Linked DNA regions of Caenorhabditis elegans. The protein of the gene in region 2 interacts with the protein of the main gene of each other region in a pairwise test. Each region holds a gene or a part of one and is shown on either strand. Other genes may lie near its edges.

What was found. Proteins that work in one complex are often made in the same cells at the same time.
Region 1: the proteins of mab-10 (region 2) and sorb-1 interact in binary tests that used the Caenorhabditis elegans proteins (3 or more experiments, as listed by UniProt).

The regions. Positions count from the first base shown.
Region 1 is NC_003282.8:13,748,413-13,752,168, forward strand, and holds the start of sorb-1 (SH3 domain-containing protein), read left to right. Parts: upstream 1-1,920; 5' UTR 1,921-1,923; coding exon 1,924-1,962; intron 1,963-2,010; coding exon 2,011-2,215; intron 2,216-2,240; exon of another isoform or gene 2,241-2,261; intron 2,262-2,446; exon of another isoform or gene 2,447-2,470; intron 2,471-2,630; coding exon 2,631-2,761; intron 2,762-2,772; exon of another isoform or gene 2,773-2,793; intron 2,794-2,847; exon of another isoform or gene 2,848-2,871; intron 2,872-3,084; exon of another isoform or gene 3,085-3,105; intron 3,106-3,343; exon of another isoform or gene 3,344-3,364; intron 3,365-3,377; exon of another isoform or gene 3,378-3,398; intron 3,399-3,514; exon of another isoform or gene 3,515-3,535; intron 3,536-3,756. UniProt on the Caenorhabditis elegans protein: Required for organization of sarcomeres in body wall muscles and for maintaining normal mitochondrial position in myocytes.
Region 2 is NC_003280.10:10,526,148-10,529,903, reverse strand, and holds the start of mab-10 (NAB transcription cofactor mab-10), read right to left. Parts: upstream 1,821-3,756; 5' UTR 1,657-1,820; intron 532-1,656; exon of another isoform or gene 106-531; intron 1-105. UniProt on the Caenorhabditis elegans protein: Transcriptional cofactor. Heterochronic protein, involved in timing of a subset of differentiation events during the larval-to-adult transition.

The sequences.
Region 1 (3,756 bases), on a different chromosome or scaffold from region 2:
TTTTATGAAAATTTACCCCAATTTTTTAGTAGACCAAGAAAATAAACTTGTTCAAAACTTCTTCTTGAAACTGTATAAACAATTTTTTTCGTAGCTTTGAATTATAATTATATTCCGTATTTATTTGTGTCGACTGGCAGACTTTTTTGTATTTTTAAAAAATAGTTTGATGTTTTTCATATTCTGAAAATACTCATTTTTATAGATTTGGTAACTAATAAAAAAACTATTTTTAAGCACAATTAGTCTCCTAGGTTTATTCTTCGATGGCAAATTGTGATGCGAACGGCAAAAAACTATAATTTTTTTGAACAAATTTTTTGCAAATTTTAACTGTTTCTATGAAGTGTTAAAGTTTCTGTTCTTCCTTTGAAACTAATAAGCTTGCGCTCCACCTTTTTTTAAATACAACGGTTACTTCTGGCCAAAAGAGTACTAAATCAAAGGTGTGATGATCATGATCATAGTGATGAAAAAGTTTGTCTGGTCACTTGAGAGCAGTTCCATCTTCTCTCCTCTCATTCTCTTTCTCTTCAGCAGGTCCATCCGGCAATTGCTTAACAAAAATTGAAAGAAGAAAGACGAAAAGTGTGTAAAGTCATGTATATAGTGAGCAAAAAGATAGAGAGACGCAGACACTGAGAGAATGTGATTCTGTTTCGTGTCCCGGGGACAGAAGACGCAATGAGGGACATTCTTAGTTTCTCTAAGTGTGGCTCTCGCAACAATAATATCACTCGATTTACTGATAAAATTTTTCTTATTTTGGTTTTTTTGTCGTATTTCAAAATAACAACTTTTCGTAAAACCTAGTACTGTTTCGGGCTTGTTAACTATTACAACTGTGAAACGGTAATTTTTATTATTTTAATTTTCAATAATTTTAGTTTTCAGTGAAATACATAACTGATTTTGCAACTCCTACAATCATTGAGTTCTAATTATTTAAACTTAATGAAAGTGTAAAAAATCGTAGAAATAATTTTTTGGGTCGAACCCCAAATTCTGATAGATGAAATGTGGCCTTTTCCCTGTTATAAAAAATTTTTAACCTAAAAGTTTTACTATTCTTGAAAAAACTGCTCAAGTGACCAGACAACATTTTTCAAAAGTTGTACGTCTTACATACTCATGGACAAAGGTGGAATAGATTTGAAAATGTTGTAAAAGCTTTACCATTTCAAAGAAACAGTATAAAATTTAAACACTTGTTCCAGAATGTTATTTTCATTTTTAAAATTAAAAAATTACAAGTGTCTTTTCTATTTTAAGAAAACAAAAATTAGCATTTTTCAATTCCAGCAATGGCAAAATTGTGATTGCCGTGCACATTTTACCCGGTCTTGGAAGCTATTTTTAAAAACTAGATACATTCTCATTCAAGTCTCAAAAGGTGTTCAAAACTTTAAAAACAATAACTTTAACACAAGCATTAACATTTCAACAAAAATTATGATTTTAAGGATTGCGTCAATTGAACGTGAATCCATTGTGGGAGCTTTAACACTTAAATGAAACAGTCAAAACAAAAATTGACAATATGGTCATTTAAGTACCATCCTTATAATTCCAAAAATGCATTCTACTGGCGCTCCTAAATGTCAAATTTAGTTGGAAATTGGGTTCAAAATCTTTATAGAATTTAAAAATCTAGTGAGAAAATATTTTGAAAATTAAAACAAATTTTCAAGATGTCTGAAGTTTTCTGGAAAATGGAAAATATTCTTGAATAGTGTACATCCCATGAATCTGCAATTATTGTCAGATTGGGTAAAGTTCGAGAACTATAAAAACTGTTACAGTACAAATTTCAAAAAAAAATCCCATTTCTGACAGAACATATTAGTCTTCCGTATTTCACATTTTTCATTTATTCTTTCCTTTATTTTGTTATACAATTCTTCAAACTCCCATATTCCAGGAATGATGCATCATCCTCATCCATTCGGGTCAAACCTGGCGGTAAGAGCTTTCAATTAATCTACTCCACAATCCCTAATTAATTTCCAGAACTCATCAGAACCACAACAGCCATCTGGTCAATATCTAAATCCTGCAGCAGATGCCTACAACTTTGACACCTTTGAAGATTCTGATAAATTCTCACCGAAGGGAAATGTGGCGGCGTTGAGAAATGTGATACATGGGCAGTTGGATATGAAGACACCAACTGGAAATAGTTCCAGATATCAGAAACCAGCGCCTCCGCCTGTTGGTGAGTTTTGTTTTTCTAGGCGTTCTATGTATTAAGCTACGAAATAATAGTTTTCGGAAAGTAACACATAGCTCATATGAATTCCTTGAAACTGTAAAAAATGTTAGTCAACAAGATAGTCAACAAATACACGATTGGCTGAGACCTGGTACCTCGACGGACCTGGAAGATGAAGCAGCAATTTTGCAATTAGATTTTTGTCATTTTTTCTATTAATAGTAAGATATTTTGGTTTCTGTCCGAATGCTGCAAACAGTAACAATAAAGTTTTGAAGTAGTCTTATAAACTATCTAAAACTGTTTTTTTTGTATAATTTTTTCTGATTTTGCGGAAAACAACTCCTGATGTCTCTCCTAACCAGCAATATTCAAAAAATCCAAATGTTTTGATGTTCAATAAAATAATAAATTCCAGACTCAACTCCTTCCTGGGCCAAAAATGTAAAAGTATACGAACCAAATGGATATGTGGATCCACATCTTAACAAGCATAATATGGGAAGAGTACTTGATGGTCCTGTCAATCCAAATAAATATTTTCAAGGAGTGAGTTTTATTTTGAAAAAAACAGCGATACAATAAAGCAACGAACTTTTCAAACTGAAAACAATGTGCTGAAATAGTTAAATTTAGTTATTACTGACCATTTTTTACTGATATTATTTTCTTTTTGGCTTTTTTTACAAGCTATGAGTGAAACACGTGAGTTTTTTTCTAGAAATTATTATCGACTAAAGCTTCACTAAAAATTGTAAAATATGAGCAAAATTATTTTGAGTTTTGAAGTTTTCTACTTTTCAGAAATACAATTCACAAGTAATAATAGCTTCTATATACGAAATTTCAAAAATTTAACAGTTTTTAAGTTAAAAAAGAACAAACCGATCAGATCAAACCGGAAAATTGTAAATGTCCTAAATGGCTTTCACGAAACAGTAGAACTTTCTTTTTAATTTTCCGAAAACACAACTTTTCAGTTCTATTTTGAAAATTGTACATTCCGGGAAGTTTATGAAAAATCCTTATGTAGATAAAAATTTACGCAAAATTGTTTTAAAAAACGTTAAAATTTTGTGTACAGTTTGAAGATTTGCAAAAATTTAAAACAATGAAAATACTTTTTCGTGTTGTCTATGAAAACTACATTACTATTTTTTTGTGATAGGAAAACTTATAGGAAAAATGTTTTGAGTACTTTTTAAAACTTGCAAATGCAAATGACCTGAAAAATCGCCAAGACATTTCATGTTGTTCTAAAAAATTTAGTGCTTATTCTCTTACTTAGACTTGTTGCGACACACTGAAGATTGAAACCAATAAACATTTTTCGCTTGTTCTATTGTCATGACATAAAATTCCTGAAACAGAAAAAATTGTGGTTTCTATTTTTTTTTTTTCAATTTTCTATGAAAATTGGGTCAAATAGTGTCTGAAAGTTGTCATTTGCTGAAAAAGTTTCACGGCAAACCCTAACTCAGGCACTATTTGAGATAATTTTCGAACTTTGCAGAAAAAATAAATATCATTATCAGATAGAACTC
Region 2 (3,756 bases):
CTTTACAACACTGTAGGTTCCCTATCGAAGTCATAAAAAAGGTTTGCAAAAAAGGTTAGAATAGAGTGAAGAAGAGAAGAAAATGGGAACATATCGACACAGAAAAGAGAGTGGTATGGCCCCCGATCCCTGTTCAAAAAACCCCAGCGTCCGCCTATCTACATCCCTGACGAAATAGTGTCTTAAACTAAGAGTGCACCCATACATCTAACTATAGGTCAAAAAAACTCGGCGGCGCGCCCGGACGCAAACGACGACACAAGAAACATAGAAAAACCGGCAAACCATTGGGCGAGAAAAAGCGTTTAAAACATAGAGACACAGAGACAATCCTACAAAAAACGTCTCTCGCCACTGGGCTTCTTCGGTCGTTCGGACGCGGGACGGACCGGGAGGTGAGAATGGAGAAATAGGAGGGAGGGAATAGTACGGGAATCGGGGGAGATTTAGAGAGAAAAAGAACCGATGAAAAAACCAAAGAGGCGTCGTTCGATTATTATTTGAAATGTTCGGTTTACTATGCGAACGATTGAGGTGACTGTGTGTGTGTATACACAGGATGGGCTTGGGAGGAACGGGACAAAAAAGTGACCTTTGTTGACAAGTGGATGTCTGGGGATACGAAAGTTCAAAATTTACAGTAATCGGGGTCAGACTTCAGAGAGATTTTGGTAGCTTATCTCCTATATCTATTAACTTCTGACTAACAGAAATACTTTCAAGTTTTGGTGTTTCTTACCGATATGATAAAATATTTAGGCGGATAGTTTTCTTCCTGTTTGGACAAATAGATGTCTAGAAGCTATAAGAGCATACTAATCAAAACTCAAGCTCCTCCTCCTTCTTCCAATTCAGCTGTTCTCATCCAACAGTACCACCATCTGTTTGACCTCTTCTTCACCTCGTTCCATCGCTTTTTCCAACTGAAAAACCGCTCCGAAAACGTCCTTTTCGAGGCTGGCGCGCGCACGCTCATTCTTCTAGCAAAAAAAGCCCCCATGAAATTGTCTGCACATGTCCATGAATTGATGAAAATAGTGTAGACATGGGAGGAGATGCGCGCAGTATGAGGTGAACAGAAAAAAAATTGGGAAGCGATGAAGGGAGAGAAGGTCGACGACGAACAGGCGGATGGGACACAACGGGGAATAGGTGGGAGGTTCGAGAAAAAAATGGGAGAAATGGAGAAAATAGACATAAAGTGAAGAGTGACATTCATAACTAATAATCTAGAAGTTACAGTATCTCCCAACGGACGAAACTAGTGATCTCCGGCAATTCTGGAAACTGTCCGAGCTCGGTCGATTCGGCAAGTACTACATCAGGGGTGTGCGTCAAATTCGCCGAGTTTGTCGTTTGCCGAATTTGCCGAGCCGACAAATTTTAAAAATGTGGATTAGCTGATTTTGCCAAATTTGCCGTGCTCGGCAAATACTAAAAAAGTCCATTGTCAAATTTGCCACACTCCTGACACGGAGGCCTTATAGTTAGTTTCTGAACTCTAGACCTCCTAGTCAAACAAATCAAAACTAAGGCTTTGGTGGAAGGCAGGCGCGTTTTCAGATCCTGGTGCATGCCTGAGACCTGCCTGCCTTCCGTTCTTTTCTCATTTCAGTCAATTTGATAGTTAAAAAAAGAAAAAACTAAAAACCTTACCTGATACAGTTCTAACTCCGCAGACGACGAAAACGGGATGACGTGGTTCTCTACCGACGAAACCATTCAGCCCGTGTCTCCGAATATCATTCGCGTCTGGCGCCGCACAAGGTCCGGGCACGACCGGGTCAGGAGGCTGTGGAACAGTGAGGCCGGGGTCTATAATAAAAAAGTGGTTGGATAGAGGTGGAGGTGATAACTGATAATATGCAACGCTAGAAAAAAAGGAAAAAAATTAAGAGAACATAGGTCAACTGGAGGGGGGAACACGCGTGCGTTGAAAAAAAAGCAAAGGCATTGAGAAATCGAGAGGAACAGAGGAACAGACAGAGCCAGAATAGTGCAGCCACACTCTATATTCTCTCTGCAATCTCTCATCTTCTCCATACTATTTCTCATTCAGTGATATCAGCAGTGGCGCGGCGTCTTCTCAGCGGCGGTGGTACCGGTCGCGGACACCCAGGGCAGAATTGCCCGGGGGGGCGCAAGTGACCCCCACAGACCACGGGGGGACGCATGAGGGAAAAAATGGCTGGCACTGCCTGGGGGCGACGGCAGTGTTGCTGCACAAAAAGTGCGTCTACACTCTCTTCGCTTTACTTGCTCTTTCTGCACTTTTTCTGCTGCCCTCGGCCGCGTCCATTTTTTGTGTGTTACTGGCAGCGGTACCAGTCCGGTGCCGACCCAAGGAGCCCAAAGGTCTCTGGAAGAGCAATTGATATGATCAGAAGCAGTGGAAGGCATGAAGAGCAGTTGAAGAAGGGGGATTCAAGTTGGTGTTTGGGATAGTGAGACTTTTTTTAAACCGCTGAATCACTGGAGAAGTACTACATGAGTACTGTAGACTGTATATGTGATGTTGTATATGTTATTGATATGAGTACTGTTGAGTACAGTAAGGCCGCAAAATTATTTTGAAACTCATCTTATTCGATTTTTTTTTCAGAATTCACCAAAACAAATGTGTGGTGGAATTCAATAATGTTCGTAACTTCAAAAGAGGATTTTATCAAAAGTTGCCAAATATATTTTGTTAAAAGCGTTTTTTCGGCGAAAAGGTTGCTGAAATACTTGTATTCTAAAAATCATTAGTATAATTTGAACATGTTTTCAAACAAAAGTATAATTCGTTACAGTAATGCCAAGATTGAATCCTGGAAAACACCTTCTTTCATAAAAATGAAAATTTTGAAAAATGGTTTTTACTGATTCGTAGAACAAAATTGTAAGCAGATGGCGTGGTTCTTGAAACTTCTGGATTAATCCATCTGAAAAAATTCCGACTGATGATTTTGATAATGTGTTGTTTGATCAAAAAACGAAATGGAACTGATGCTTTAGGATTTTTCTAATTTCATCTCACTGCAAAATATACAGAATCTATTGTATTTGGAGTAGTAAACAATTTGATTGTTATAGTTTTTACAAAAAAATATTTTGAAAATTCTGGAAAGTTGGTAACTAAGAGTTTCTTCACAGTTTTATCTTCAGAAACTTTGAGGGCTCATCGTGAGATTGGTTCTGGAAACTCGTATTTAGAAGTTCATAAACTTGTGGGATGTTGATATGTTTGCATGGCAGAATGCAAGAGGATTTGGTGGAATTGAGGTATGTATCAACACGTTTTTTAAAATAAAATCAAAACATTTTCAGACAAAATGTTAGTTTTCAGACAGCATAACTTCCATGTTATGTACCTACCTTCTTCTGACGTATCAAATTCTACTATTCAATTGTACGGAGAACCCTCAACGTTGCCTTACAGTTAGTGGGGTGCTTCATTACCCATATACACTTGAAAGTGCTCTAGTTTTTTATGAAACTTCTGAAAATCAATAATATGGTTATGGTGATTATTTGGCAAAGCGCACGTGGACAGAAGATAGGATTGCTTATCCGTGGTTTGGTCTGCCAAGAAATTCTTCAATGTCAGTTATCAAGCTCAAGTTCCCTGCTCTCCGAGTGGTCATGAATGGTACGGCTGTTTTTGGCGATTCTGCTGCCATGAAACTCTAAAAAAAACTTATATTTAGTCTTGCTCGTTTACTGAAATGCGTCCGAACTTAACAGGAAAAAGAAAGATATAGCTTTTTTTATTGA